Linked DNA regions of Oryzias latipes. The protein of the gene in region 4 interacts with the protein of the main gene of each other region in a biochemical or structural test. Links are inferred from orthologs where the notes say so. Each region holds a gene or a part of one and is shown on either strand. Other genes may lie near its edges. The genes, in order: vangl1, pbk, slc16a3 and discs large homolog 1-like protein.

Region 1 (8,091 bases), on a different chromosome or scaffold from region 4:
CCCCGGTCACGTGGCGCATGTGTTGTTGGCCATGATTGAGCTAATGAGGGCTGCTAGATTTGTGCAATCTAATAAACATTCTCCAGTTTCACTGATTAAGGCCCAGAGAAGTTTGGTATGAATGGAGAAGAAAAAAAGAGAGTTCCTACTATTATTCAGGGAGATAAGTGCAGTGTTGACTGTGATGATCCCGTGTTGTTGATAACTGATCACGATAAGAAAAGAAAAAACAGCCTTAAGTATGATGACTCTGACTAAATAAGCAGTTATAATAAGCTTAGACTTCCTGATCAGTCAAATAGACCAGCTGCAGTTAAGAAATCTTGATTTGAAGGTCTGATCTGAAACTAGTGTTGTAGAAAAAAGCAATAAACGTTTAACAAAAAAAAACCTTTGCTTTTGAACTTAACAGATCATTTTGCATGAAGACATCACACAGTTACACCAACCAATTTGGTGTTGATGAAAGGAGGATTAATCAGAAAGAAATAGATGTTTTTCCTCACACTTTTGTCAAACCAAATCATTGGTGGTTTACAGGGAAACCATAACTTTTATATTAACGCAAACCAGTTTGCCCAAGAGATCTGATCATTGACTGTATAAGAGATCTGAACTGAGTGAATGTGATGTCTCCAATCATGCTTCTGGCACTAAAAAAATGAAGTCAAATGCCTTTTTTGTAAAAACAAATGCCACCATGCTGGAATCAGAAATAGTCAGTAAGTAATGATTGGTCCGAGTTGGTTCAAGTCCTCATTTCTTTGGCAACCACTTTCGTCAATCAGGAGAGACCTGGACAGGTCGCATGTGATGTCACGCATTTTTTAATGGGTGACATCACACGCGACCTGTCCAGGTCTCACATTACTTCCGGCTCCAACAACATAAACTCAATTCAGTCGCCATTTTTCCACGATACTGACATCGCCATGTTGGAGATAGTCGACAGTGATTGGTCCGAGTCAATGTTGCTACGGCAAATACTGTCACAAATCAGCCAATCAGCAACACGAAATCTGTCAATCGAACGTTTTGAACATTCGACGAGAGACTATAATTGAGGCATCTGATGGGTCAGTTTATAAATTTAATAACTTGCAATAAAAATTATATATATAATGGAGAAAAAAATGATTATGAAGAACATGTTAAAAAAAGAAGCGGAGCAAGAATCTTTACTCTGATAAACAGAATGACTTTTGATGATTTTTTACTAGAAGTCTTTGGGATTTTGTCCTCTTGGAACCAGTGGGCACTTCCTGTTTAAAATGTAAATTGTTTTTAATTGATGAAATTGTTTGAAATAAGCCAAATTAGTCAAAGCACTCAATAATAAAATGATGTGTTGCTTTTCAAAAGGCTAAACATTTGCTGTGCTGTATTTGCATAACTATAAATTGTTAGCCCTTTTTGGGGGGTTTCAACTTGTGTTCATTTGGAAACAGAAACTGAGGGGATAAACACAACAGTTTTGTTTATTCCCTGCAGATTTTTTTTAACACAAAAACCAACCCTGGATAAACTGATCAACAGTTCGAAATAGAATTATTAATAAGTAACAGGAAAAAAAATCATACTTGTATATTTGTTCATTTTCTATCTAAGACTGAGAGAAAAACATCTTCAGGTTAAACTTTAAAGAAATGCTTCTGCCGCTTCCTGAATTAAAAACCATGGCTGACTGCATGAAATAGTTTGTACAGCTGCACCACTGCAGAGCAAAAACCCCAAATCTGAAGGTGTTGTCAGCCATCTGATCTCATACAAACCTGACATACTTTTACAGGAGCGGAAACTGAGACAGAAGCTGTGTTGACATGAAACAAAACGTTCTCCTATGGTCGCCCGCTTTCAAGCGTAAAAGTCTCACCTGATGACCGTACATCATTTATGATGAGGAAATTAAGAAATTTATGAAGGCCTGGGTTTTCACAACAACAGCACATGTCTGAAACGTTGCTTTTAATAACACTGACATTGGGGTTAGTATTGCAAACATGTTTTTATGCATATTTCTGCTACGAAAAATGCTTTTATGCTTCTGAAGCTACGGCAAAGTGCATTCAAGCGACTACTGTCAATGAAAAGTCTTTGGGGTGTACAAAACGTGCGGCCATTGAAGGCCTGTTGAAAGTTAAACCAGATCAAACTTTGACCGATCAGGGATTTAGATTTGGTTATGACGTATGGATGGCGTCCCCTTTTATTCACAGAAGGGACGACCGTTCAACAACTCATTGTGGACGAGAAATTGATAATTGCAGTTTGTATTTCGGCTTCCTGAATTTAACTCTATTGACCTCAGAGAACCTCTCTTTAAAGCCCCACTCTGATCACGTTTTGATCTCTTTTTAAGAGTCATCTCTTAATTATGATTAGGTCGTTTTATGCAAAAAATCTGTTGTTTTACTAAGGACAGTTTCTGCAGGAGTTCATAAGAAATTCGCCTCTGAAATTCACGGGACTGTTAGCAAGGAGTGACCCCGCCTCATCATCATCATCATCCCATCATCCATCAGTTTACACTGCTAGCTCACAGCCCCTCACATCCCCCAACCTATCAGTGCAACAAAAACAGTGGGGAATATTGGAGCTATCAAGAAGTACAGTTTTGAGCCAGACAACAGATTAGACGAGGAAACAAAAACGTACACGGATCTTGTCGTCTAAAAGTGAATGCATCAGAATGGAGCAGAGCAAGGAGCTTGTGGCTTGCCATAGTAGCTTCTACGTCACACCTACAAGTTTTTTCAAACTGCATTTTTTCACCTGCTCCTGGTTCACAACGATTTACTAAGGAAACACTCAGATATGCGATTTTGAGCTAACTTCATTTAAATATGTCCTCCATTATCAGAAAAAGGCTAGACAAGAACATAATTTTCATGATCTGAGAGGAACTAGTTAACTGACAATTCAACATATAATAAATCCTATCTTTACGATTTTTATTTTATTTATTTTCTTACACAACTTTTCAGCATTTGAAATAATGTTCAAGTCAATAAATAAATCTCGAAATGAGCCGCTAAAACAGAACTTTTAGAGCCACAAGTGGAGCAGGTTGATGCGTCCCCACCTGTGACCCAGCAGGCGGACCTCCAAGGCAGGAAACTCCCCGGTTTCCCTTTTGGCCTCAACGGCACCCACCCTCCTCCTCCTTACCTGACAACCCCCACCAAAGCAATCAATTCTTTGGTTAAATAAAAAAATATATATATTATTAAAAAACGGCCAAACATGAATTTAAAAACACGTGTTTGGTGTGCTTGGGAACACTTTCCCCAGATACGGTGTATCAATCCGCGTGAAGTGTGCCGCCGCAGGTTACAGTTTACAGCTGAGCTGCGGTACTCCAGCAAAGCGGAGCGAGCCCACCCGTGCCAAGCACGGCCAACTTCTCCCCCTGTAACCCGGTGTCTTTACACAAACTGGGTCCATTGGGGGGCGTTTATTCGGCATACATGGCCTCACTGGCGAGCGTAGCAAGTCGACGCCGCGGCACACGAGCGCGTTAACTTTCTCGTGCCTGACCGTTGATCACACCGCAGTGACTTTGGGGGGATTCAAACGAAGTTCACACAGGTAGACGGCCAGGGCGTGTTCCCGGATGTTTTCCAGCAAATACACGCATCCGGCATGTCGCCAAAACATCAAGAAGACAGGAGGGGGGGGGGGGACATATCCATTTCGAAACGCATTTCTGAGCAATTTAGAAATTGAAGCGGGACGTGAAAGCCGTCAAGACGGCAAGTCCACGCTCACGCTGCAGTATATAAACATGATAAAGGGGGCAGTAATTAAATCATAACTCACCTTTTATCGGGGGAGATATCATCCCTCTGGTTGATAATTCATCCACAGGTTGTAAAGTAGTTCCTCCACAGCTCCAGATTAGGTACAGTAGGAAGTAGCCCTTGGAAACCGCAGGAATCACCCTGGCAGTGAGGAATTTCTACGGGGGGGGGGGCTGAGCTTCCCGGATGCAGTGCCGTAACAATCCGCTAGGGGGCTGTCGTGAGCTCAGATAAAAGTGAGCATGCTGCAGGAGATATTTCATCTCAGGAATTTACAGGTAACTGTAGCTTTTACAGGAATTTCTGCACACAAAAGGTTATAAACAACATATATAAAATAGTATTTATGCACAACATAAAAACAATTAGATTTTATCCAGAACTGCGACTCCCTGTTTGAACCCAATGTACACATGTTTGTGCATCTTACCCTGTTATTTCAGTGTGACTCTTTTTTTTTCTTGCTTCAAGGTAGTGTTTTTGTTACGGTCCACGAGGCCGAACAAGGTAAACAGTTGCTACTCGCTGGCTGGAACTAAACAAACGGGTGGTGCGATTGCAGACGCAGTCACTGAAAGACACACAATAAGGCCAACCAGGCCTTGAGACAGCTCCTGAGAGGAGAATGGAAACAAACACTCCTCCTCCTTTGATACTGAAGGCAACCACAATTGAAAATCCATTGTTTGCTCAAAGACAGCTCTTCTCTAAAAAGGTCGGAAGTTGGTGTGAAAAGCAACACCAAACCCAAACCCAACAGCCAGGTTTATGGTTGTGGATTGACTTTACATCTGACTGTGTTTTTGTTTGCTTTGTAATTAAACCACATTCTGTTTGTAACCTTCACCCCATATTTTGTACCCATCCGTGATAAAAGTCCAACTTCTACCTGTCCATAACAATCGGAGGGCAGAGTGCAGATACAGTGTTCCCTAAGCGATTCCGTGATATACCGCGATACTTATTTATAAACTTATATCAATATATATTTTACCAGCGTCTGACTCTCGTTTTCCACTTGAACCGCTGACCACTAGTTGGCAGCGCCGCACACTGAGCCTCTGTGAGCAGCAAAACGAGATCTCCCGAAAATCAGCTTGTGTTAAATGCTAAATGTTCAGTCAGCCTCGCGGTTTTTGTTACTATGAAACAAGTACTATTTAGGTTTTGCTTGGGACGGGGAACCAAACGAAACATCGGTGCCACGTTGCGGCCAGTACCATATGAAAACGCGGATTGTGATGCTTTGTAGTGGGCTCCAGATGACAAGTGACACTTGAGATGTATTGCGATACATATTATTTCGTGACGGTCATATCGCGGTACGCATCGTATCGCCAGACCCCTACTGTTCCCTCATTTATCACTGGAGTTGTGTTCTCAAAAATATCTGGCGATAAGTAAAATCCGCGAAATAGGATTATAGATGTTTGAAAACTCTAAATCTCCTCATCACACACTTTGTCATTTGTTTCTTTTGTCTATTCTTTCAAAGTTTCGACCTATTTTACAAAAATAAATCAAGTATTACAGTATGAAACAAAGGATCTGCTTGCGATCAAAGATCTAGACAACATTGGCAAACTGAAAGCATTCTGCACAAGACAAACGGCATAGAGATTGACAATAATCTACAGCCAATCACGACGCTGAACACAGTGGACAGTGGAAAAGCAAAAAAAACAAACAAAAGTGCACTGAAAAAAATCTGTGAGATGAACTGCGACGTAGCGAGGGTCCACTGTACCACATGCACACTACACAGTCTAAATTGGAAAGAGAACAGCTTTTTATACCTTCCACTGTCGTACTTCTGACGAACAAATTTTTTACGGTTTTGCTAGACACGTTTGAGGCAATCAACAAGGAAAATCATTTCTCTCTGACCAATATATTTTTTCGTCATTTTACCACATAGATTAATAATAAAAAGTCTTTTTTTGTTTTACTCTGCTGGTGTTACATCAGGTAGTGCGCTTGCTTTCACATTTTAGTGACCCGCAGTAGGGTTCACTTACATGTGAACAGTAGAAGCTGGTTTTCAGGCGTAGCAATTGTACTTGTTTGGTTCACACCATAGTTTAAGTCTAATTTTGCAAGTTAGCAAACAAATCAGACAATTCTGACAGTAAAAACTCATCAAAAATAAACAACCTGGTTTTCATTTTAATTGGTTTGTTTGTAAGGTTAGGGGTTAAAAGTATTTAGCATTTTGCTGCAGCTAAGGTAAAATAAAAATAACTATCCGTGCCATCTTATTTTGAAACAAAAAGGAAACTTTTATGCCAATTCCCATATCATGATACTGCCACCACCATGAATTACAATGGGAATGATATTTTGGTTGGAATTTAGTATAATAGCTGCAAAAGATTACATTTTTATTATTTTTAAGAAAAGAAAAAAAAACTGTTTTTCTTTTAGATCAAGACTTTTATGGAGCGATTTGAAAAATTTGGGATTTTAGTCCTCAGACACTTTAATGCTAGATTTAAAAAAAGTTTCTTTGTGCCGCTGATGATTTTTTTTAACACGTGACCTTTGGCTGCACATGGATGTGATGGCTTTTCTTTTTTTTCCCCTTATGCTTTGACACCAACCGGTTTGCGCTGCCTTGCCATTCTTCATCCTTTTGTGCCACAAAACGAAAGCAGCTCATCATCATCTCTGTAACAAAGCAACAGACCCCCCTCTTCCCCCCAGCAAATTACACAACTGTGTATGAATCAATATTTCGTTCGCCTTGGAAATGCATCTTTAGTAACACACTTCACGCACCGTGAGCAATAATTCACCCCCTCCAGAACACTGAGGGGGTCATGACTGGGGCACGACCCCTCTCACTCTGTAAAGAGCCAAACAAACACCGATCTGCGGGGTGGGAGGTGCGTACTCAAGTCCAGCTTAGCGTCAACAAAGTTGTTGTTTTGTTTTGTTGGGATAAAACTTTCCCAAAAAAATGTTTTTTTTTGCTGCGTTTTGAATACATGTTTATCCCAACAAACAAGGAGTGTAGTTTGAGGTTATAGTGCCACCGTGTGGCGGAAAGCCATCAGTGCTTGCGAGGAGCTTTGGCAAACAGAGGCCACTTTTACCAAAAACAAAAGATTTTAAACTACTTCATTGAGGGGTTTTGTCTTAAATATCACTTCATTTTTCTGCTAAAGTTTTAAAAGATGGTGTTAAGTCAGATTAGGATCAATTAAAGTTGTATTTTGGATAAAAATCTAAACCTGGTGACATCTAAATGAGCCCCATTTTCATCCACGCGCCTCCTCTGACTGCGCACACCCAGATGGTCCCGCACAGAGGAAGCGGGGCGGTGGGGGTGGGGGGTGGGGGGGTCAATTCGATTTGGTGTCCTGAAGATGGATGGATCCCTCCCCAAAGACACGGACTTTATGAGTTTAGAGGCGGCGGCGAGGGTGTTGGTGGTGGTGGTGGTTGGGGGGTGTCGGTAAATATGGTGAGAGAAAAAAATGAAAGTGCGTAAAAAAATGAAGATGAAGTGGGAGGAGATGCAGTTTGCGGGAGCAGAGGAAGAGGAGGAGGAAGACCACAAGCCAGAGAGGCCAAACTTCTCATGGAGATGTTTGGAAGAAAAGAAAAAAATACCTACAAAAGTTCTACTGTTTAAAAGTCGGATGTTTTTGTGTAAGAAAAATCATTACCAGAATGAAGTTTTTATTTTGTCTTTTAGAAAAAGCTAAATCTTTTTTATTAAAGGTGAAATATTTTGATGGAAAAATAATTGAAAAAGCGTCAGACAAGTTTAAAAAGAAAAAAAAGGTATTATTGTTGATGGAGGACACAGGAAGAAATTGAAGCTAAACATTTTATGTCTGAGTATTTTTTTTGTGAATCGGTAGCAGACGAAAAAATGCAGTTTGAAAAAGATCGTATTTGTGACGTAGAAAGTATAATCGGTGTCCCACGAGCTCCCAGCTCTGCTCCATTCTGATGCTTTCATTTGTAGACGACTAGATCCATGAACATCTTTGTTTTCCTCGTCTGAGCTGGCATTTGGATGAAAACTGTACGGCTGGATAGCTACAATTGTGCTGCACCAGGAATGTTAGGTGGGGGTGATGAGGGGCTGTAAGCTAGCGGGACAGCATGTAAACAGAGAGCTCTCAGCAACAGGAAGCTCAGGGAGGCCCAACCCACAACTCAGAGGGCAAATTTCTAGTGAACTACCGCCGCTCTGCAGAAACTATGTACTAGAAAACGACACATTTAATAATCATAATGAAAGGATCACTGAGAACGATTTTAAATGAGCTCAAAAGAT
Region 2 (8,151 bases), on a different chromosome or scaffold from region 4:
GAGCCGTGCAGGTTAACCTGTGGTTGCAGAACAGAGGAATTGACCTTCAGACTGATTCTGGTGGGCTTTGGGGTAGAGCTGAGATGGTGTGGGATTTTTGATCACCGCGGTGATGAACCAGCAGGGGGGTTGGTGTCGCAGTTTCCCCCAGAAGCCCTTGAAGTCTGAACACAGGACTAGCAGAAAAAGTAAATGATCAGCAACGATGAAGGTTTCATGTTGTAGTTCCAATCACCATAGGCAGAACTTTAAAAACCGTGCGGTGATGAGGTTATCGTCACGCCTCTACTTTGGGGAGCTGCAGGGCTGAACAGACTGTTTGTTTGCAGGACGCTGGTCAGAAAGGCTTTGGAGCGACGACCTGCAGCTCCTGTGGGATGGTCTACAGCGCAGACAACCCTGAAGACGTCTTCCAGCATTCCCACTTCCACCTGAAGCTCCTCAGCTCCATCAAGTTTGTGGTAAGAACCAATCAGCTGGTTCTGTTTAGTACGCCAAAGTGTCTCAGCAGACGCCGTCACGGTTACAGTAGTGTATATTATGGGATGTAGGAGTGTTAGATGGAGTTCATTTAAGAACCAGAGGAGAAAAAAAGGAGCGTTAGAGGAGGAAGGTAGACCTGCTGGAACGGTAGTTAGAAGCTCAGGAGCAGGGTTCAGCTTGTTCTGTCATGGTGGGGAGGGGTTCTCCTTCAGGGGGGGGGTTATTCCGTTGCTTGGTGCAGTAATGGAAGTCATGAAGGTCCTGTACCCCCTGCACCCCCACCCGGTGGGTTGTGCCATGTCACGCTGTCTGCTCTCAGAGGTGGGGGGGTCATATCAGTGTTCTGGTTGCAGGGCTGGAAGAAGGAGCGGGTGGTGGCCGACTTCTGGGATGGAAAAATTATCCTGATTCTGCCCGAAGACCCCAAACACGCCCATAAGAAGGTAAAACCGGACCGGCTGGTCCTCAGTCCTCGTGGACCCGGCTGACAGGTGTGTCCGTACGCAGGCGGAGGACGTACGGCGCGTGGCGGACGACGAACTGGGTTTCCAGCAGGTGGCGCTGAGTCGGCCGTCCCGGTCCAAAACCTACCTGTTCATCAACACGGACAGGATGGTGGTGGGCTGTGTGGTGGCTGAACCCATTCGCCAGGTGGGGGTGTCGATGAGGCCAGTTTTTGTTTCCAAACCTCTCATAACCCAGCGTGCCCCCCCCCACAGGCCTACAGGGTGGTGCAGCAGGCGGCTGCAGCTGAGGCTTTGAGGGACGACATCCTGGAGCGCCACCGGGCCTGGTGCTGCTCCACCGTTCCAGAACCGGCTTTGTGCGGCATCAGTCGCATCTGGGTCTTTGGGCCGGCCCGGCGACAGGGCATCGCCACCCGCATGCTGGACACAGTCAGGTGGGGGCCCACGCCGCCTTTTTATCCGACACGGCGACTCCCTGAATCCTGACGCTCCTCCTCTCTCACAGGAGCTCCTTCGTTTTTGGAAGTCACCTGACCACAGAGGAGCTGGCGTTCTCTGACCCCACCCCTGATGGGAAGCTGTTCGCCACTCAGTACTGCCGCACCCCCACATTCCTGGTGTACAACTTTGTTGCCTGAATGTTTGTGTTGAAGTTGCAGAGTTTTAATCCCGTTTCTGTTGGTTCTGAGAAACGTGGAGACCCGTGTTGTTGTACAGAACTTTAATAAACCTTTCTGATTCTACCATCGCTGTCCATCACTGACTGAGCATGCTCAGTGCCGGCCGTCCAAAGCCTGGACGATCTGGGATGCAGACGGTCTCTTCCTGGAGTCTTCTTCTGTGCAGACGTAGAAGAGCTCCACCACCCTCTGGTAGCAGCTTCCCAGAGACTCCGCCTCCAACGGCGGCCGCGTCCCCAGACACTCGTAGTAGGCGTCTTCGTCGAAGCTCCTCTCCGTGGAGTCTGAGGAACAAACTGAAGTGTCGGTGACCCACAAACTAAGACGGCTACATGGCTGCGTAAAACCGCACACCTTCATCCTCACCATCCTCTTCCTCCTCCAGCATCTCCAGGTGAGGCATGGACAGAGTTATCATCTCCCACAGCGTCAGGCCGTAGGCAAAGATGTCCGCCCGGTCCGTGATCACGCCCCCCTCCAGAGCCTCCTTGGGCTTCCAGGGCTCGGTACCGATGTATTCTGCTTCTGGGTCAGAGACTGAAGACAGGAAGTTGTTACTGGACAGCAGCGGTTTTCAAAATAAAGGCTTTCTCTTGTGGTTACATGATTGGAGGGGGTGGAGTCAATGTCAGCCTGACCGCATGAGGCTGCAGGTCACTTCAATAGTTTTAGATGGAAATGTTTTTACTGTTTCAACAAAGGTGCTCCGTCATTTCGTATGAAGCTCCGCCCATTCACTCCAGAAACGTGGAGGCCATAAAACAAGTATTTGTTCACAGTGGTGAGTTTACATAACCTGCTTCCACACGGACTAGCTAGCTGCCGAAGATCAACTTGAGTCCTACTGAACATGCTCAGACTGGACAGCTCACCTGTCATGTTCTCGTCTAATTGCAGAGACACGCCCACATCGCAGATCTTCACGCTCTCAAAGTCTCCTTTAATGACCACGTTGCAGGACTTCATGTCGCCGTGCAGCAGCTTCTTCTCGTTGTGGAGGTACTGAAACAGGGAAATCGTGAAGTTCTGCAGGAGCACGCAGAAAAAAGGAGGCGGGGTCTCACCTGCAGGCCGCGCGCCACATGCAGGGCCACCTTCTCGATGTTGGCGGCGGGGAAGGCCTTGAGACCCTGCTCCCTCCTCTGCTCGATGAGGTCGTTGAGTGACCGCTCCCCGCCGTACTCCATCACCAAACACTCGGAGCCGTCTTTGGCGGTGGCCACGGCGCGAAAACCTGCAGAGGGAACAGACCGTGCAGGAGCATCCTGTCGTCAGACCCCCCCCCCCACGTTTGACCGTCTATCGCCTCCTTACCGATGATGTTGGGATGGTCGATTCCTCGCAGGAGGCGGGCCTCTTCCTTCAGACGGTTCTGGTAAACGGCAGCCTGTTTGGATTCACATTTGCTGTTGATCTTCTTCACTGCCCACGGAGACGCGTTCATCTGCTCCTCTCTGGGGGAGGACGGGACGTTCAGAGTCTTTACTGATCCACAGCCACACCCATAACCCCTAGAATTCCCTAAAAGCCATCCATCCATCAGAAAAACATCAGAAGCTGTGACCTTTTCCTGTGCCTGAGTGAAAGCGTGGGTTTGAGAGCCGGACAAGCCGTTCTTGGCTGGACCGAAAGCCTCTGCCCCACCCATCATGACGCATCAAGCTCTTGATCAACCAACAGATTATCATCAACGCCACACTGAAGGGAAACCGCTGTCAAGACTTCAGGAGGTTCTAGAGCATCCGTCTGTCCCCGACAAACATCTGACAGCAGACGCTTCCAGACGTTCTGAAGCACAAAGAAGTGATGAGAAAAGTGGACGCAGTGGTTGAAGAAGCAGACATCAGTGAAACCAAAAGACATCCAGCAGAACCATCAGTTCAGATCTGACAGTGAGACTAAAGTTCACCCGTCTGGAAAAGTCTGTCCTGAAGGACTGTCAGCCAAAAAAAACAACGTGGAGGCAAGTCAAGTCTGAAGGAAAACTGGAACTGCGGTGCCGTCAGAGGATGATCAGGACCGACGAGGCCAACGGTGAAATAACTGCAGAAGAAGACGGTTTGTCTTCTGGGTCCACAGGAGAAGACTGTTTCTTCTTCTGGGTCCACAGAAGAAGACGGTTTCTTCTTCTGGGTCCACAGAAGAAGACGGTTTGTCTTCAGGGTCCACAGAAGAAGACGGTTTGTCTTCTGGGTCCACAGGAGAAGACGGTTTCTACTTCTGGGTCCACAGGAGAAGACTGTTTCTTCTTCTGGGTCCACAGAAGAAGACGGTTTGTCTTCTGGATCCACAGGAGAAGACGGTTTGTCTTCTGGGTCCACAGGAGAAGACGGTTTGTCTTCTGGGTCCACAGGAGAAGACGGTTTCTTCTTCTGGGTCCACAGAAGAAGACGGTTTGTCTTCAGGGTCCACAGAAGAAGACGGTTTGTCTTCTGGGTCCACAGGAGAAGACGGTTTCTACTTCTGGGTCCACAGGAGAAGACGGTTTCTTCTTCTGGGTCCACAGAAGAAGACGGTTTGTCTTCTGGATCCACAGGAAAATACGGTTTGTCTTCTGGGTCTGGGATCACATGACGGCAGAAGGATGAGACAAAGCCTGTGTCCAGAGAAGCAGGATGTTTGGACCCGCAGAGTTCCTGTCAGGTCCTACATGAACTGATGAGGACTAATTTGGATTTGAATTCTGTTTCTCTTTTGTTCACACATTTTTATAGAGATTCTGTAGCATAATTCAAAATACAAGCCAAAACCTCAAGAAGAATTGATTTTTCATTTTTTTTATTTTTTAGTTAAAAAATGCAGCTTCATTTAGAAAATTTGTGGTTTTGGTTTTTATTTTTAATTATGCTACAGAATCGCTTCCATACTTTTTGTTGATTGATGAAAATAATGAATCCTTGTTTTCTCCCTGATCCACTAAACTCCACTTAAAAGATTTACTGACTGATTATTTGACTTAAACATAACTTTTAGATGTTTCCTTCAGATATTTTAACATGTAATGTTACATTCTATTTACATGTAATGACGTTCATCCTCTGAAGCAGGTCTAAGGAAGAACATGTTTCTATCTTCCTGACCCACTATGTCCCGGTCCCGGCTACCGTTGGACGAAGGCGGGGTACACCCCGGACAGGTACCGGAACACACACCTGTTCATCAGGTAGACGCTGACTCCGGTACCGCAGCCCAACTTCTTCATGAAGGGCGATGCCGGGATGGTGACGGGGGTTCCCCCCGAACTCCTGGTCCGGACGGTTTTTGGAGTTTTAAATCCGCCATTGGACGCCATTCTGTCGGTAAACGTTCTACCAGACCGGACTCTCAGCCTCTACCGGAAACCGGGGTCGGTTTTCTGGTAAAGAGGATGTCAGTGAAACGTTTCTACTAAAGAAAATCTCCGTTTTCAAATGTTCTTACTGGTTCCGCGGAGTAAACAAACCACCCGCCAAAACTTTCTTTTCCGGTTTGGTCCGGGCTCTTCTTCCGGTTGAGTCTTGTTGCCGATGCGTATTACCGCCACCTAGTGGTGGGGGTCGTATTGTCATTTAATCTATGAATCCCCTTAATCTATGGCAGGGGTCGGGAACCTTTTTTGTCGAGAGAGAGCCATAAACGCCACATATTTTTAAATGTAATTTTGAAAGAGCAATACAATAATGTAGTGTCCTTTTCCCACACTGAGGCACGGAGACTTAACCTCTTTTAAGGTTCTTTATTCTGGTTACTGCAGACCGCAGCAAACGCCGAACAATTAATTCAGCAACTCCTGAATCTCTCCCGCCGACACGAGAGCGCTTCTCCCAACTTTATATTCCCCTGCTCCCGCTCCAGTCCTCCCATTTCCCTTATTCGGCCCATAGCTGAACCCCATTGGTCCAAACTACCTGACAACAGGCTGAGCGACAGAACTGAGAGCCAATCAGATCTCTGCTTGATGCGTTTAATGAACTCCAGAACGTTTAACGCGGCCCAACAGCCAAGTTAAACTCAGTCCGCGACAATATGTTTAAAACTAAATATACAAGTGAATGTGTGCATTTGATTTAATTTCAACATTTTTAAAGTACAATAAGTCTGTGGATTCTTTTTAATAACATCGTTATGCTGTTGCTAATAAACGATGAGTATTTCTCTTGGTAGTTTTGCTGATGGTCTAGTCTGGTTGATACGTGGTGAGTTTCTGCTTCATGCAGGCGTTGAGACTTTAAACGTGATCGTAGGTCTGAATGTTCTGTAGATGTGAGACAGACTGATCACATGCAGACGGGGAGACAAACACACACTCACACACTGCAGTGAGTGACGGGCAGCGGGTTTTACGTTTTTACAATCCCAGCGCGATTCACCTGCTGCCCTCACAACCCCCCCACCCTCTGCTTTCTTCCTCACACATCCCGTCCCCGCAACTGCGCGCTCTTTCTCAGAGACGGGAGCGCGCAGTTTTGGGCACGGCAATTCACAGGTTTCCGGGTGCACCCGGAAACCTGTGAATTGAATTGAAATAATAGATAATAGTAACTGATAGCGCTGGCGCTGAATTTTTCTCTCCAAGCACCGCTACTACTGCGCGCCTCTGGCATCGCATCGCGCCCGAGAAGGACTGGTCTAATGAAAAAAAAAAAAACTATAATTAAAGATTTGTCTGCGAGCCACATGTGACCATCAAAAGAGTCATATATGGATCGCGAGCCATAGGTTCCCGACCCCTGGTCTATGGTAATCATTGTCTTCCTCAAGAAAGATGTCATTTATCCCTTGTGCTGTCTTAGATGACCCCTCCCTTCCATTGACGTGTTCTCCCTACCATGACAAAGGTGGATAAAGGTGGAAAGATTTCCTGTAATCCATGGACACCAGTGAAGATCACAAATCATTGAAGGAAAAAGGTTCAGAGCACTGTCTAGTGGGTCTGAGCGCAGGAATGACATGATCTCAAGTTGCAGATGCATCATCCATAAAAATGGATTTCCAAATTCACCTAAAATCCAGACCACCAAAGGAAGAAAAAACCGTTTCAGTGACTTTCATACAGCATTTTAATTCAGATATAACAAAGAGAAGGTTGCAGTGTTCCCAATCCCAACAGACCATTTGATTCTCTGGTGTGACAATAATCTGGTTCTTTCTCAAGTTGAAATCATGTCTCCTGTCCACTAGATGTCAGTGTTTGCTGCAGCGACCCAAACTCTTTCAGCGTCACTGAAGTCTGCTACTGACTCTTTCTTTAGGTATTTTTTATTATAGTTAGTCTGCATCATCAACATCATGTAAGTTTACTAATGTAGACTATGACTTTATAAAAGCTAAAACGTGAGAGTTAATCAATTCAAAACCATTTCCTGTACTTTGTTTTCTCAAATAGATTAGTTTGACTTAAAACCATCTTTCTTAGTCATTTCCAGAAACACAGAAATAGCACACATTGTTGTTAGAAGACATTCATAGCAAAGATATAACTTAGCTTAGTTAACTCATATAAATCTGTTCCTAATCCGGTAATATTCACAGAGTAACCATGACAACCAACCCAGTCTGGCTTCTATTCAGCTTCATCAAATTGTAAGCTGGATTTGTCATTTCAGTCAAAACTCTGTCAGGATTTCAGCTTCTTAAAACGGGTCCTGCTGTTTTTTCTGCCACTGCAGGAGTTTTTCCTGTTCTTCATTGATTTGGTTCTGTGGTTTTTTATGTTGTTTCCATGGCAACGTAGTTCTTCTGTTGTTTGTCCAGTTCCTTCTATTGCCGTCTCTGCTGTTGTCGTTCCTGCTGCTGTTGTGTATCTCGTTGTTTGTACTTTTTCTGAAGCTGAGGTGGTGCATTCAGTCGAAAGTGAGAAAACCAGTTTGCTCTTAAGGCACTTGGAGGTGTTGAGAAAAGAGAGAACCAGTATGTCATGGAGAACAAGTGGAACTTCCTTCCCAGAAGATTCCAACCGTCTTATGTCATCTCCATCTCAGGAAACATTAAAGCTTCGGTGTCCGGCGGGGGTCCGACAGCGCAGGTCACACCAGCGTCCTCTACGTGGCCACAGTTGGTTTTGCCCCATCCGGGAAACTTGCACTGATGGATGGTGTCTTCACCCCCTGTGCAAGCCACATCGTCCATCCAGATCAGACCGGATCCTGCAAACGGGTACAGACAGCTGCGGGTCAAGATAGGGTTCTGCAGCACAAAAACAGAACAATGCACACACAAACACAAACACAAGGAAGTTGGGACCTCTGAACTTTTGTCCCCTTCCCCATCCCTGGGGGGGATGGTCCAACAAGAAACTGTTACAAATATAATCAATGTAAACAAAGTGTAGCCTGAATTACAAAAGGGGTTTATTCAAATATACCATTATATGTTAGCATCATGCCAGCAGACTTGCACTTTCCTGCAGTTTTGTGTTAGAAAGGAAAGGAAAGGCATAAAAGATCAAACTCTACTTTTATGGGCAAATTATCGATTTATTAAGTTTGGAACGATTCCGATCTATTTCATCAACCAAGTTTAGACCCTGAGTGTGACGGTTC
Region 3 (7,643 bases), on a different chromosome or scaffold from region 4:
CGGTAGGAACCCACAGTGACGTCACCTGCCACAGTAAACACGCGCCCGTCCCTGAATGCAGAGAGAGTCCGCACCTGCGCGCAGGTAAACCGTCACCATGGAGACGGAACACGAACCATCGAGTCAGACGGTACCAGACGAAACCTGCTCTGTCCGGGAGTCCCGCACGAGCGCTTACCTGTTCCGCTGCGGACACTCCACGGTCCACGCCGCACCGTCACGATGGTGTCACACTCAAATCCCGCCGGCCAGAAACTCCGCTCCCGGCTCTTCTTCTAGTGGTAATGAATGCAGATAACATCTTTAACGCCGCAGTGGCGCCCTCTAGTGGTAAGTCCTGTAAGTGTTAATGCAGACATTTCCGCGATTAGAAACGATTACAATGACAAGAAGACTGCATCATCCAATTAATTACGTTCTAATTAATCAATAAATAAAAATCTTGAACAGATTTGATAAATTTAGGCACTTTTTAATCGTCTTTTTTATTTGTTTTTGTTGCTGAATTAGTTTGAAATGAACAAAAAAAATCAAATTAAATCAAATTTGAATAAGATATTTCAGAACACTAATAAATAACCCTTTGACACTCAGTAGTCTGGGACATTTTCAGAAGAAAATTATACTTTACAATTTCTATATCCTTTGTGCTATCCTAGGCACTTTAACATTGGGTGGGGTCATCTAGACCCCACAGGATAGCACAAGGGTTAAATAGTTTTTCAGTCCTTTTTTTTAAATATGTGATATCAATCCTTTTCTTCGTTTTTTAAAGACATATTTTTTAAATATATTACACATTTATTCCACAAAACTGTCTGAAAAACTCAATTCCGAGTACTGTGGTCCATTTAGTCATTTTCTTACTGTATGTTGCTTTATAACTAAAGATTAAACATGTAGAGACAAAACAGAAAAAAATAAAAATCCACAAACAAAGTAGAGACGAGGTCAAAACAATGTGAAAAATGTCTGACAGCTCCACTAAACTGATTTGGGGTTTCACAATCTTATTTTCAAAGCTAAGTCCCTGATGAGTTCAGGGACCGTGAATGACACGGGAAAGACCAGCATCTGCTGGATGGTTTCAGACGTTTGACGGATTCATCGTCTCAGTTTTCAAACAGTCAGGATTTCTAAAGTCTCAGAGATGCTCAAGTGTTGCAAGTTTGTTCCTCATAAGTTTTCCAAACATTTATCTGTGTTTTTAATTATTATTTTTAGATGTTATAGCAACAGAACAGGACGCTCTCCAAGAACAGGCGGCACTTACGTTAGGACTGGATTCTCATGCTTTCACTGAGCGGTTCTGGTTCTGGTTCTGGTCAGGTGCTGTGAAGCCTCAATCAGGTTCAATCTGAGCGCCTTGCTGTTCCTCCCCAGCAGGAGTCCAGAGCGGTCGGTTCTGACCCCATACGGGTTTGCTGGGGTGTTTTATGTCTGGGCTTCCTCCTTTGACCCCCACCCTCTTTGTCGTTGGGACATCTTCAGATTCTGACTGGCGTTCCTGTCTGGGATTCAATGATTTGGTTTTTTTTGCAGTTCAGTCAGGATGGTTTTGGTGAACGTCGAGCTGAGAGGATTTTATCGTTTTATTGCTGTTTTTATGTTCAACTTTGTGTTTTTTCTGCCGTTTCTTCATCTTAAACGTTTGTTTTCTTCGTCTGGTGTTGAACATAACTCAATAAATGATTCCGGTTTTATCTGCAGGCCTCCTAGATGGATGGAAACACGGTTTAAAAAAAGTTCCTTGACTTGAATCTGTCTGTGAACTTCAGAAAGGAATTCTCATGAATCCACAGAAACTTAAGAGACTAAATATTATCCTTTTTAATACAGCTTCAGTAAAACAGACGTACAGACAACACTGGACACTGAGGCAGCGACATTCACCACCCTCCTCCTCCTCACTCTTCATCACTGAGGGGAAAGCAGCATTTCTTGGGGACAAACGACGACACCGGAGTGAAGAAGCACGAGACAAACGTCGCCTCCCCCCCGTTCAGGACTCCCACAGCAGGGGGGCCAGCACTGACCCCCCCCCCACACACACACACAGACAGCTGTGACACAAAAATGTGAGCAAGACGCCACACAACAAACACAACAGAAACACACTTCTGGCTCCATCAAAGCTCTTTGCAACGTCGAACAGCGAAAGCAGCGTGTGGGTTCGTTCAGGACCGAAATGAGTTTCCCATGAGCCTTTGTGCTCTGTGGATGCGTCCCACCCGCCCCCAAACCTCCGGCTGATCCGCTTCCATCCCCAGAAAAGGTGACGGGAGGCTGAAAGGGCTCATGGGGGTTTGTGAAACGGGTGAGTTGGGCTGCTTTTGGTCTTCATCTGAGAGGGCCGGGGGGGGGGTCGCACAAAGTTGTGTTTTGCAGCTTGGGGAGTTCCTGCCTCTGTTGCCATGGGAACAGCCTCCGGACATCAACAACAAGGCGGAGGAATTTCAAAACAAAAGGTGGGTCCAGGAGAAGATGCGGCTGCGGTCTTCAGGTCTTATTGACTCTGTTTGGGACGTCCCGACATTGTCGGCCCCCTCCAGAGTTTTGGTCTCCATCAGTAAAGGGTTAAATAAAACTGAAAGCTATTGCTAAAACCCCCCGCCGACTCCTCCAAGCTATTGAATCAGTGCAAACGGCGTCCCGGTGTGATGAACTAACAGTAGGAACAGGATGTGGTCCCGCTGGTCCCTCGGAGGTCTTGGCTGGTGGCGGGCGCCACACGGCGGTTCTGCAGCGACTTCAGGCACAAACTTCTGTTACGAAGGTCTGACCGGCATTGGCTTGGGGATGTTGCAAAGGCAGTGGCTTCAATCCCTCCCCACCAAAACACAGAACAACACCTGGAATAAACATGGAATTATACGAAAAGCATTTCAGCTGGGATGGCGGCGGTTAAGCCCCTCCCTATTCCGCCTCACAGGCACGTTTCAGGACTGGCCGCCATGCTGCCGTTCGGCTGAGGTTCTTTGAGGAACCTCTCCACTTCCTGTGTGTTCACCATCACGCTCTTTGGCCTGACCTCCTCCCCCCTTTCAGCCCCTAACTCCTCCTCCTCCTCGCCTTCATCCCCCTCCCCACTCCTGCTGCAGGCGTTTGCTTCGGAGTCGTCTGTCACTGCGTTGCCCTCCGGCTTGACTTCCGGCGCTATCTTGATGAACAGGAAGTTACAGGTGGCCAAAACCACCGCTGAGAGCACGACCTCACATCCTGCCAGCAGGAAGATGGTCATGTAGTTGTGTGTGGCGTCGAGCAGCCGACCTGCGAAAGCAAAGAGAAGCAGGAAACCCGTCAGCGACCGAGATGAAGGCTGCGCTGGAGCCGGACGGTCATCAGACTCTCATAAATAGAATCTGATGACCTGAAAATGTTGGTTAAGCGCCCCAGCCCCCCCGCCCCACCGCCACAGGTCACGCTGATGTTTCAGCGCAGCTCCAACCTGAAGTACGGAGGTGGAAACCCAAACCAACAGTGTTTTCACTGGAGAATGCAGACGTGACCATGCGGCTCTATGGGAAGCCTTTTTAAAACTTGATTACAATCTGACATGAACACCTTTGCATTGATCTTATTATTGATTTCTGCCTGTCTTAGTTGTATTCTGTCATATCATAAAAGTATTACAGTCCCACTGCGATCACCTTCTGATCTGCTTCCCGGTGGTATTTTTATGATGATGAGGCTGTTTTTAGCCAAAATCTAGATCGTAGTTTCTGCTACGATCGTAGTTTCTGAGGACATAGTTTCTGCAGAGCGGCAGGAGTTCATCAGAAGTTATTCTCTGAGGTGGCTAGGAGATCACGGATCCACTGACCTCAAGTCTTATTTCCCATCATCCACCTGTTTACCCTCTCTCCTGCTAGCTTACAGCCCTTCTCCAACCTAACATTAGCGGTGCATCAAAAATGGTGATCAGTATCAGATCCATCCATCCGTCCAGTTCTGATCCAGATTCCAGCTCAGACCAGAAAAACAGAGACGTTCATGGATACATTGGTCTGCAGGTGGAGGATCTGAAAGGGGCGGAGCTTGGAGACTGTGGCCCCGCCCAGCGTATTTTCTCCATCACAAATAAGCTCTTTTTATTTTGTCTGCTCCTGATTCACAGCAATCTGAATAAAAAATACTCAGAAAGGCAAATTTCATCTTGATTATCATTATAAATATTCTCCATCCTCATAAGAAGGAAATGTTAAAAACACAACTTTAAATGACATGTACCAGTGTCCTAACTTCAGGTGAAGGAACGGCAGCTTGAGCGGCACCCGTCGTTAACGCCAGCTCGCATTCTTGCACCCACCTGCACTCGGCGGCCCCACCAGCACAGCAATAGCTTCCATTAACAGGACCAGGCCGATGGCGCTGGAGAATTTCTCCGTCCCCACAATGGTCATCAGAACCTCAAACTGCAGCGCCCCCACCATTCCATAGGAGATACCGAAGAAGATGCAGAAGACCACCAGGGACGGGTAGTCTTTGGACTGGAAAGAGGTGAGGTGTTAGAGCCCAAAGCACCTGAAGACCAGCTCTGGACGAACACGCACTCACCTGTGAGCCAATGAGGTCGGTGATTCCATTGAAGAGCATGGCAAAGCTGAAGAGGTAGACGCAGCGCGGCCGAACCCATTTCAGCCCAGCGATCACGCCACACGTGGGCCGCGCAAACATGTCAACGAAGCCCAGGATGGTGAGCAGCAGCGCCGACTTGGTGTCTTCGTTCCCCAGCTCCTTGGCATAGCTAACAACAAACACCGGGGGCACGAAGAGGCCGAGCACCATGATGGAGGCTGCTACGGTGTAGATGACAAAGCCGCAGTCTTTGAACACAGAGAAGTCCAGAAGTTTGGCTTTGGCTTTCATCTTCTCCTCCTCTGGGCTCTGCTCTTTGTTGTGGTCCTGTTTCTTGACCTTCTTGGGGTCAACCAAAGGCTTCATGAGGGCTCCACAAACACAGCAGTTTAGCAGGATGCCACCCAAGATGAGGAAGCCCCCCCTCCACCCGTAGTGGTACTGCAGGACCTGGCCCAGCGGAGAGAGGCAGCACAGCGCCACGGGGCTCCCAGCCGCTGAAAGGCCGTTGGCCAACGGCCGCTTCTCACTGAAGTACCGGTTCAGCATGATGAGAGACGGCTGAAAGTTCAGGGCCAACCCCAGACCTGCAGGAGGAAACACAGCCGGTTGTCCACGTGGCACAAAAGCATTTCCAGCAACATCAAACATGTAAACTGTGTGGTCCCTGGAATCACAGAGCAGACAAACCTGTAATGACTCCGGTTGTGAGGTAGATGTGGATGATGTTGGTGGCGAAGGAGCTCAGGATCATTCCCAAAGACGCAAAGAGGCCGCCCACCATCATGACAGGCCGACAGCCGAAGCGGTTCACCAATATGCTGCACAAAGGACCTGCAGAGAGCAAGCGGTCATGCATGGTAAAAACATTCAAAGTTCCTGCATTTCCTCTCCTCTCCTTCCTTCTCCTTCTTCCACCAGCAGTAGTCCGGTTTCTACTGTCACCCAGTAGGTGAGTCCCTGTTAATGCGAGCCACGACTGATCCAGCATGAAAGTTCTGTTTGTAATTCACACAACGGGTTTGTCTTTGGCGTTGAGTTGGGGTCGGTTCCTGACACAACCCTTTGCATTTACTCCGGCTTGGAACCAGCACCCAAACAACTGGATTGTGCCTCTTTGTGGTTGTGTTCTCAAATATGCAGGAACGATTGTTTTTAAATGTATTGGATAATGTTCCTGAAAACATCCATACACTGTTGTGTTTCTGTGTCTCCTGTTAGTGATAAAGATTGGAGACCCATCATCATCATCAGCTGTCCATGGGTATTATGAGTGTTTGGTATTTTGTTGCTCAAATATCTCTCTTGTCAACATTTTGCTTCCCAGGCGGGTTGCTGGGACATTCCTCTTACTGTTAGATAGGAATGTGGTTGCTGGTACGATTTCCCTTCTGTCATTTGCATGGGAACCACTGGGACGCTACTCTCCCTGCATGTTCCCAGGAGACGTTCGAACCCTCCTGCATGTCCTAGGAGGGCGGGTGGCCGGCCACTGTCTGTTTGGAGAATATTTTTCATTTGATTTAGCAGAAAAGGGGACAGTCATGGAACGCTGTGTGTTTGATGCTGACTCCCTTGTTTGGTGGTATTTTAAAGTACTTTAGTGGAAAAATTAAAGTTAACTCTACGGTGAGTTCTACATTATTATGCAAACTGTGTTTAAGTGTCAAAAATAAAATTCTTTGTTTTTCAGTTAAACTCATTTTGTGTCTCTGGGCTCTTTGGACCACGGACACCAGTCTACGACAGCAGTGACCATGAATTTACAAAGCAGAAAGCACAGATGTAAAGCTGCTATTGTGTCTGGAGTCCTACCAACATTGAGGTGTAGGATCCTCCAGAGGCTTGCAGTTCCACGTAAACCTTTGAAAACGACCCTCACAAGCAGAAGTGGCTGCAGTGGACCCACACAGACATGAAGACTCAGTTTCTTGTTTACTGATGAGTGCCGTACAACCCTGGATGGTCCAGACGGAGCAGTGGGTGGTTGGTGGATGGCAACCATGTCCCAAAAAGGCTGTGATGTCAGCAAGAAGGTGGTGGAGTCATGGTTTGGGCTGGAACCATGGTGAGAGAGCTGGTCAGCTCCTTTAAGGTCCCCTAAGGTGTGAAAATGACCTCTGAAAAGTAGGAGGAGCTTCTGACTGACCACTTTCTTCCATGGTACATAAAGAAGAACCGTGCACCACACCATCCTCCCCCTGATGGTGTGGCCCCCATCCTCCCCCTGGAGCATCCCATAAGCCACTTGTGTCAGGATTGGACGGCCTGAACTTGCTCCTCCTGAAGTTTCTTCTCTTCTGGCCTCAGGAGTGTGGTCTTCCTGTTGTGACGTCAAAAAAGAAAACTAGGCCCCCTGCCCGGCGTGCCCCTGAGCAATCCTTCATTTCCATAGAACTGGTCCACAATGCAGACGTAAACTCTTTGACTGAAACGTTTTCTCCTTCAATGGTCGGACAAATGGATGGAGTCATTGTAAAGAAAGACACGCCCAACCTTCAGATTTATGGACACGCGTCTCCAGGGAAGGTCCACCAGTGACTGTGATATCTGAGGGAAACATTCCAGCTGTACAGAATAAAAGCAGAGCCAAAGACAAACGAAGGTGTTGTGGCTTTTGCACCCAGAAATAAGCAGGAATTGAACCACGAGTCTGTGGATCAGCCAGAAAGAGCTTTTCCTCTGAGGGCGTGGACGTTCACAGGTCTGCACAGCACAGCGACGGAGGAAACGCATGGGAAGGAAACTGTTCTAGACTTTAGCAGAATGAAAATGAAAGTAGTTCAGGTCAGCCGACAGCATCAATCACTCAACATTTTACTGACATTTAAAGAGACACTCTGTTGAAATTTAAACTTTAACGTGTTCTTGTAGCATTTTTCTCCCGATGGAGGATGTATACAAAGAAAGTTACGTTTTTCTTTATTCTAATCGCTGTGAATCAGGAGCAGATGGAAAGATTCTGTTTCAAAAAGAGCTTCTTTGTGACGTCTTCCTGCTCCACTCCATCCACTTATAGACAAATAGATCCATGCATGTTAGATTTGTTGCAAAAGTGTGGAAAA
Region 4 (7,584 bases):
AGGTTCTTTCTACGCCTGTCATTTGTGGACTGCTGAGGAAGAGGAGGAGGGGTGATGAGGGACAACAAAAAAGGGGGGATGAGGGCGCGTTGGCTATGAAGATGAAGAGCAGAGCTCCTCCAGGGAGTCGGAGCTGAGCCGCTGGGATCAGAGCAGCAGCAGAACGTGCACGCGCATGCAGAACCAGCAGAGATGGTTTTGACCCTTTCAGAACCACGGACAGTTCTGTCCACGCCACTTTCTCCTGGGCAACCTGGGCTGCTGCTAACACCCCCCAAAAAACAAAAACAAAAGAAATAAAAAAAATCCCAGAGAGTTTCTAAATCTCAAGAAATCACATTTTCTCCGGTTTGAAATCAATATTTACTCTGTGGGAGAGTTGATTTCCTGCAGTGGAGGGTGTTGCACAGGTTCTGGGTTGGGCGTAGAGTCAAACAGACGTTTTCTCTGTGGTTTCATGTTGAGTTATTCTGGAGAATTAGCTCATTACTGCGGCCATGAAGCTGTTATAGAAGATCAGAGTCTCCAAATGGCTGCAGACACTTGACAAATACCACAGCTGCTCCGCACTAACATGCTGAGAGTAAAGGTGGTGGTGGTGGTGGTAGGGGGGGGGTGTCATCAGACTGAGGTAAGCTGTCCTTCTGTAAAAACCTATGAGGTCAGGTGAGGGAAAACAGAACATTACTGTCCTCTTCCTCTGATTAACCCCATTCTCTTCAATCAGCTTCTAGCTGTCTTAGACCCCTTGGTGCCCCCTCACCGAGCTTTGCCAAGGACATGGTGAGTTGTGGGTTGGACTGCTGGCGCTGAGCAACCCCGCCCCCATTCCCCTCCCTGTTGCTGAGAGCTTGGAGCAGGGAGCTTGCTCGGATTTTCTATGTCACAAAAGGATCTTTTTCAAACACCTTTTTTTTTCGTCTAGTTCTGTTTTACAACGATTTGAATAAAGAAATACTCAGAATGCAATTTTAAGCCTAATTTTCTTAATATACATGCCCTCCATCATCAGCAAAATGCCACAAGGACATGTCAAAAACACCAGCGGGGTCTCACTTACTCAATGAAAAGTGCTTCAAGACATTTAAAAATCTTATTCGTTAAGAAGGATTTCATCTACATCCCTAAAAGCAGTGCGCACGTCTAACACCTGCATTAGCAGTGGGCTCTCATCTTCAGCTTTGCTTTATTTCCCAGAACAGCAGAGGAAAAGCCGGTCTGTGCTTGTGTACGTTCATGTCCTGGGCTGTGTAAGGTGCAGGTACATGGAAACGTGGGTGAGGTCCAGCTCAGTTTAAAGAGACTGGATTGGTCCTGCAGGAGCTGGAAATGGAGCTCAGAGGTTTCTCTTAAAAATCTTTTTTTGTTCACTGGGGGGGTGGGGGTATTGCTGATGTCACAAATAAAGAAAGCTGCTCTTTATTACTGCTGAATGCTCACATGCTGAACTCAGGTCTCATCATCTTAAAATCCATGGAGAGATGAGGAGGAAGAGGAGCAGCAGACATTTCAGTTTGTTTGAGGCGCGGGGGGGGGGGGGGGGGGGGGGGGGGTGCCATGCATGTGTGGGTTGGTGGGGCGGTGCCTCGTGTTAAAGCAGCAAAGAAAGAGAGGGGGGGGGCTGACACTGAAACAACATGCGTTTAAGGAGCTGGTCTGTTATTCCAGACGCTCATTAGTAGGCAGAGATCAGCTGGCAGCGGCGTACTTGTGGTGAAAACGCGTTAAAGTCACGGTCATGCTGACAAACATGAAAACAGTCTCAGGAGCCCGCGGCCCTGGGGAACCCTAGTCCACCTTTACTACAAGGGATGAAGAGGTAAAGACAGTGGAGGTCAGAGCAGAGCTCTTATTTGATGGGGGGTTCGGCAGGACCAGGGTTCCACAGGGTTTTGGGGCCTCACTCACCCCTCGCTCTCGGGACTTGGCGTTAAACTTGACGGTCTTTAACCTGGCGCGCTCCTTCTTCTCTACCCTGTGGAGGACAGGAGGTCAGAATGAGAGGGATGGATACCACATCCATGTGACACCTTAATCATGGAGCGTCTCTTCCTTAGTTCCAAGGTTTGAAGCTGTAAAGCAGTCGGGAAGGAAGGACTGCTCTTCTTCCTCCTCAGAGTGTGAAGGAAAGTCAGAACTTAAACACCAACCATAACACTTTTTTAGCTGGATTTTAAATGAAGAACTTCTGTTAATAGCAGCTGCTTTTAAGGAGCAGAAGGCAAAGACAACATGTTACCCTTTAATACGTGTTTTTTTATGTGCACTGGTCCCTTGTTATCATTCACCTTTCAAAGATCTGATGATTTTTTTAGTTCAATTTTGCGCTCTTTTTTTTTTTTACAGCGCATTGTGCTCTGCGTCCTGATTGGCTGTACACCATTGTTACTCTTTGTCCTGCCTGCCATGTCTCCTGGACAGAATGTGTTCGGCTTGCAAAGATGATCTTTGGTTCCATTCTATAGCACTGGACTTGTTCATCTACCAAGTTTATCTTTGAAAGTTTAAAGAGAGAAAATGTTCATGTGCATCTGAGAAAAGTGTATAAAGTGTGTAGAGAGGAGTTTTACAGCCTTAAACATCTATAATAATTGTAACAAACAAAGCTGCAGATTTCACCCTATTGTGGGATATTTTTAGACTATAACTCCTGCGATAAACGAGGGACCACTGTATGTCTAGATGCACATATTCTGGGTTCCAGTGAATGCATCACAAAACAAGATGAGATCTGACCAAAGGGGTTTAGATGATGCGCCTTCTACCCAGGTTGACTATGAAAACCTAACCAACCTGAAGTGAAAGTTGACCTAAAGGTGAACCTGAAGACCAACCAAAAACATAAAAATCTCATCTGAAAGTGGAGCTAAAGGCAGACCAGAAACTAGACATAAAAGAAGACCTGACAGCAGAGCTGCAGGTAGACCTGAGCAGAGATCTGAATGCAGACACGAAGTCAGGATCAAAGCTGCGTCTGAAAGGCTGACCGAAAACTAGAGCAGAACGCAGGCATGAAGGCAAGCCTAAAAGTGGATCTAAAAGCCAACCTGAAAGGGGACATGCTGGTGCACCTGTCAACCCGTCTCCAGATCTCATTAAAAGTTCCACTTACCGTCTTTTGCTGGGGATGACTCCCACCTCCTCCAGCTCTCCCTTTGGCGCCACATGCCTGGCCTGCCACCACTCATCGTCAGAGGCATTTACAACATGGAGAATGTCCCCAAACTTAAAGTTGAGACCCTGACTGGGCAGCCCCGAGTCCTTGGTCTTATCATAGTCAAACAGAGCTCTGTAGACATGGAGAAGCTCGTTATTGGTCTTTTGGTCAACCCAGCCTTTGTTGGCCAATATGGGAGCGCCGCTCTAACCTGACGTAGAGAGACCTCTTCTGGCTGGTTCGCAGGGATCCGGAGCCTGAACTGATGCTGCTGTTCATCATCTGCTCGCGCAGGTCGTGGATCTTCGCCTCAAACCGACTGTACTCTTAACAACCACAGAGATTCAACACAAACATCGTCAATTCATTTTATCCAAGAAGCACCAGTTTCAGAAGAAAAAACATCAAATACAATTGTTAAAATCCAATAATACAATCCAGTTAAGTCCAGATCAGTCCTATAAGGCTAGGTATGAAGTTGTGGTGTTAACCTTAAACTGAGCAAACATAAGACAGTGGAGAGAAACACGTTTTAAATGGAAGAAAAAGAAAAAACCTTAATAGACTCAGTAAACTATTAATAAACTTATTAAATAGATATTTGTAAACGCAACAAAACAACATAATAAAGATCAACAAATTTAACATTACTATTATCTGTTTAGATCAAAAGCATTTGTTAGTAACTGCAAATATGAGAGCAGGAATGAGACAGACCTAGAGAAAAACTATTGAAGAAAAAAAGACAGGCCCGCTATGATAAGCTACTCCAACAATGGCACAGACTCATGGGATTGACAGTGGAAAGCTCTACAGCAGCGGTCCAAACCCCAGAGCCCAGAACCAGGATAAAGCCACTGCTTGGAGAAGCCGATGAGACGCACGATATTCATGCCGGGGGGAAAAAAATAATTCCTCATTCTAGACTAAGGAGAAAAGACGAAAAGGCAAATCTGGTAATTGATGAATTTCTTTACGACATTGCAACTAAAAGAAAAATTAAGTGTTGATCATTATTAGTTTTAGAAAATTCTGATGAAATCTTCTGCCGTTTCATCTTTTCTTCATGTAGAATAAAGAAACTTTTTTTTTCCTGGCACTGACATTGGATGGTCCAAGCAGGGCCCCAATTGGGAGACAGTGAAAGGTTGCTGATTGGCTGATTTCATGACGACCAAAAGAACTGTACTTCTAACTTGAGTGTGTCGGTGTGGATTAATGCTTGTGCTCCTATGTGCATGTGTTCTTTCACACACGGACAAAATGTTTTATGGCTAAACCCTTATTTTTTAATACAGCTACAGTACAAAACAGACGCACATTCAGACGCGGATGTACAATACTTTTACAACAAGTCTATCTTCATAGAAATTGGCGTCTGATTATTTTAGCGTCCACTTTAAAAGTTATGGGTTAAGGGAAATTCTATATCATATCTTAATAGTTCCTACATAAAGTGTATAAATAAAGTCTAGAGTATCTGCAGGTATTTTACAGAGGATGACCGCTAAGGAAAACTGGAAGCTAAAAATAAATAGAAAAAACAGTCTATGGCCTGACAAAGGTTGGGGACCACTGATCTACAAAAAAGACGGTTTAATTTCTAATGGGTCCCTGAAGTGACCAATGGCTTTTACAAACAAAACTTTGGGACTATGTCTATTAGTTTCAGTGAAATCTCTACTGGTGATGGAGTGACGACTTCAAGAGTCAAATTACACTGAAAATAATGAAAAATTATTTGTCGCAGATGTGGTTTTACCGCAGACTTCTGGCTTTGCAGAAGAAAACACACCTGACCACCAACCGAACTCTGTTAGCATTAATCAGTGTAACATTATCCCTGAGCTCCTCCACAAATGGTACCACAGAGCTCTCAGGGAGACAGCCTGGAGTCATGTGATGCTGTCCGCCTCACCTTCTGGTCTGTACTGGGTGATGATGGTCACAGTCTGCCCAGCGTTCTTCAGGGTGGCTGCGGCCTGCTCGTGTGTGGCGGCTCTGAGGTCCACCCCGTTCACCTAAAGACGGAGAATAAACAGTGGTGTTTCATCAAATGAGTTGGTTCAGAGTGCAAACAAAAACTCAGATAAATGAAGTTCTTCCTGTTACACATTTGTAATGTCACTCGTGAACATGTTCTCTCCCCATAAGCTCACTGTTCCACCTTACAGATACTCGTCTTGCTGCCGCTGACCTTCAATCCTGTTCTTTCTTTCCTCTCTCTAGATGATCCTCCACCTGATCCCCGCTCTCTCTACAACTGAGTGAGCCTATGTAACGGATCAAAACACCACTTGGAAGAGTTGCCAGATAAAGCCCCCCAAGCAAGCAAAAAGTGACAGTACACAGCAAAACCTGAATCGAAACAAAGTAAAAAAAAAAAACCTTGTTTGAACAAAAAATTCTTGTTTTTTTGTCTTGCATGAAAAATTATCTTTTAAGAAAGTTCTTCAACAAATTGTCGAAGGGAAAATCTTAGTTTGATAGGTGAAAACCATTACTGTCACATTACTGGCCTTTCAACAAGCAGAATAGTGTTACCAATCGATGAATAAACAGAGTGGTTTTGGCGAAATGAACAAAGAATTGGGAGAAGAAGACGCTAAAAGAAAAACGATGTTGCACACAATCATAAAGCAAAGTTGTGGGCGATGTTTAGTGTCTATATTTTGCACGTTTGAAAGGCAAACAAGCACAACTTTACACACAAATGCCTGCAGTAATTGTTTTAAAGAGAAGTTGACATAGCAAAAGATGACAAAAAGAAAGCTTATTTTCTGCTAATGTGAATTTGTTTGACACAAGAAACAACTATAAAGAAATAGGCTATCCCACATTCAGCGCTACAAAGTTTGTAGTTTAAATGACACACCAGTTAATTTATCTAACGCTGACATTTGGTCTTTTTGTCATCAAAAAGTCACATTTTTACCATCAGCAGAGATACAGATTTGAGGCAACAGCCTGAACATCCCACCTCAAAGGGTTTATATCATGCATAGTGTACTTTTTGAGCTTTTAAGTTCCTGAAGGTGCATAACGGTGTGTAAACACCTACAGATACCAGCCGGTCTCCTTTGCGCAGCTCTCCAGAAAGGTCAGCTGGCCCCCCAGCTAAGATGAAGGAAATAAAGATGCCCTCTCCGTCCTCGCCACCCACAATGTTGAATCCCAGTCCGGTCGCCCCTCGGTGCAGAACCACCTTCCTCGGCTCCCTGTGGGGCAACCATAGCTATAAATTTGTGGAGGTCAGAATAAAATAAACAAAAATCAAGAATGCAGCCTCATCTTCCTCTCCAGTAGGCCAGAGGGTTACAAAGCCCACACTTGCAGTTACATTATAGTCGTCTTAATCCTTTATAGCTGAAGCCGAGTCTGTTTAGGCAGAGATTACTTTGAAGGTCACCTCATGTTTCTATCACAGAGAAACCCAGACCAGTTAAGAAAAAAGTAGCTGTAGCAGTCAGATGATATTTTTCTCTTGCATAAATTGTGATGAGGTGGTTGAATGAGGCTTTAATTGTAGGGTGGTAACATTAGGACAAACAGCTAAACATTGGGAATGATCTGTGAATCAATCAATCAACCATTTTGAATGAATATTTATGCGCGTGTTCTGCCGTACTCACCGAGTGACACCGTCGTCGTCTGCTAGCGGGCTCATTGGTGTGGGCGAGTAGCATCCCGAGGATCCTCGTGGTTGAAGCTGGTGACTTACAAAATTGGGGGGGCTGATATGATTCTCCATGTGCTGTGAGTAAGCTGGAAGAGACAGAGCATTCGTGAACCAAAAACGTGTGCGCCAGTAGAAACACCCATTTGGATGAGATGGGAGCTGCAGAATAGGGGGTAAAGTGAACCTAGGAAACTGGAGACGGTCTGATCGGTTTACAGCAGACAGGTGAGCTCCAGCTGAAACACCAAAGGAATCCTCTGCAGTTTAAACTCCAAACAAACCTTTTTGTCTTATAGAATCACAATTCCAAGATTCAAAACCTTGCTTTTCATTTCAGTCAATTAAACAACAACATTTTGTATACCTTTTTGGATATGCATTTGATTGAAAAAAAAAAACTGGGGAAAGATGAAAAACAGATGAATAATGTAAAAACAGGTCAAACAAATAAGTAATAAACATAAATAAAGGGAAGTGCAACCAAAGGAAGAAACAAAAAGCTTTTTTTACTACTGTATGGAAAAAATCCTTTCGTAAAAATACTGAATACAAGGTTCACGTCACCAAGGGTCTATCTCGGGACCGAGCCTAGGGTTGGCCTTCCCCCGAGCTCACAAGGAAGGTCTACAAGGGGCTGGTGCCGCAACAACCCAATCCTCAAAAATGGACTAATCATCGGGACATGGCCTGTTACCTCCCTAAGTGGGAGGGACCCTTAGGTTGCAGAAGGGTGAGGGTCCTGGGTAAA

Evidence for each region.
Region 1: the proteins of discs large homolog 1-like protein (region 4) and vangl1 interact in a test that uses a peptide from one of them, tested with the Homo sapiens proteins (2 studies listed by IntAct, with this or other methods). The link is inferred for Oryzias latipes from reciprocal best matches to the Homo sapiens genes DLG1 and VANGL1.
Region 2: the proteins of discs large homolog 1-like protein (region 4) and pbk form a complex in vitro, tested with the Homo sapiens proteins (2 studies listed by BioGRID and IntAct, with this or other methods). The link is inferred for Oryzias latipes from reciprocal best matches to the Homo sapiens genes DLG1 and PBK.
Region 3: the proteins of discs large homolog 1-like protein (region 4) and slc16a3 interact in a test that uses a peptide from one of them, tested with the Homo sapiens proteins (2 studies listed by IntAct, with this or other methods). The link is inferred for Oryzias latipes from reciprocal best matches to the Homo sapiens genes DLG1 and SLC16A3.

What each region holds. Positions count from the first base shown.
Region 1 is NC_019860.2:16,765,257-16,773,347, forward strand, and holds the start of vangl1 (vang-like protein 1), read right to left. Parts: upstream 4,342-8,091; 5' UTR 4,231-4,341; intron 4,104-4,230; 5' UTR 3,820-4,103; intron 1-3,819.
Region 2 is NC_019882.2:247,690-255,840, reverse strand, and holds pbk (lymphokine-activated killer T-cell-originated protein kinase), read right to left. Parts: upstream 5,109-8,151; 5' UTR 4,923-5,108; coding exon 4,783-4,922; intron 3,085-4,782; coding exon 2,945-3,084; intron 2,865-2,944; coding exon 2,695-2,864; intron 2,633-2,694; coding exon 2,503-2,632; intron 2,168-2,502; coding exon 1,985-2,167; intron 1,915-1,984; coding exon 1,724-1,914; 3' UTR 1,657-1,723; downstream 1-1,656. Other genes in the region: N-acetyltransferase ESCO2, read left to right, coding at 330-461, 837-926, 991-1,134, 1,203-1,384, 1,456-1,588; scara5 (scavenger receptor class A member 5), read right to left, coding at 7,571-7,755. UniProt on the Homo sapiens protein: Phosphorylates MAP kinase p38. Seems to be active only in mitosis. May also play a role in the activation of lymphoid cells.
Region 3 is NC_019866.2:24,924,936-24,932,578, forward strand, and holds the end of slc16a3 (monocarboxylate transporter 4), read right to left. Parts: intron 5,413-7,643; coding exon 5,269-5,412; intron 5,166-5,268; coding exon 4,558-5,165; intron 4,491-4,557; coding exon 4,310-4,490; intron 3,271-4,309; coding exon 2,927-3,270; 3' UTR 1,807-2,926; downstream 1-1,806. UniProt on the Homo sapiens protein: Proton-dependent transporter of monocarboxylates such as L-lactate and pyruvate. Plays a predominant role in L-lactate efflux from highly glycolytic cells.
Region 4 is NC_019875.2:12,825,308-12,832,891, reverse strand, and holds part of discs large homolog 1-like protein, read right to left. Parts: intron 6,923-7,584; coding exon 6,790-6,922; intron 6,376-6,789; coding exon 6,219-6,375; intron 5,179-6,218; coding exon 5,076-5,178; intron 3,484-5,075; coding exon 3,369-3,483; intron 3,290-3,368; coding exon 3,113-3,289; intron 1,976-3,112; coding exon 1,909-1,975; intron 33-1,908; coding exon 1-32. UniProt on the Homo sapiens protein: Essential multidomain scaffolding protein required for normal development. Recruits channels, receptors and signaling molecules to discrete plasma membrane domains in polarized cells.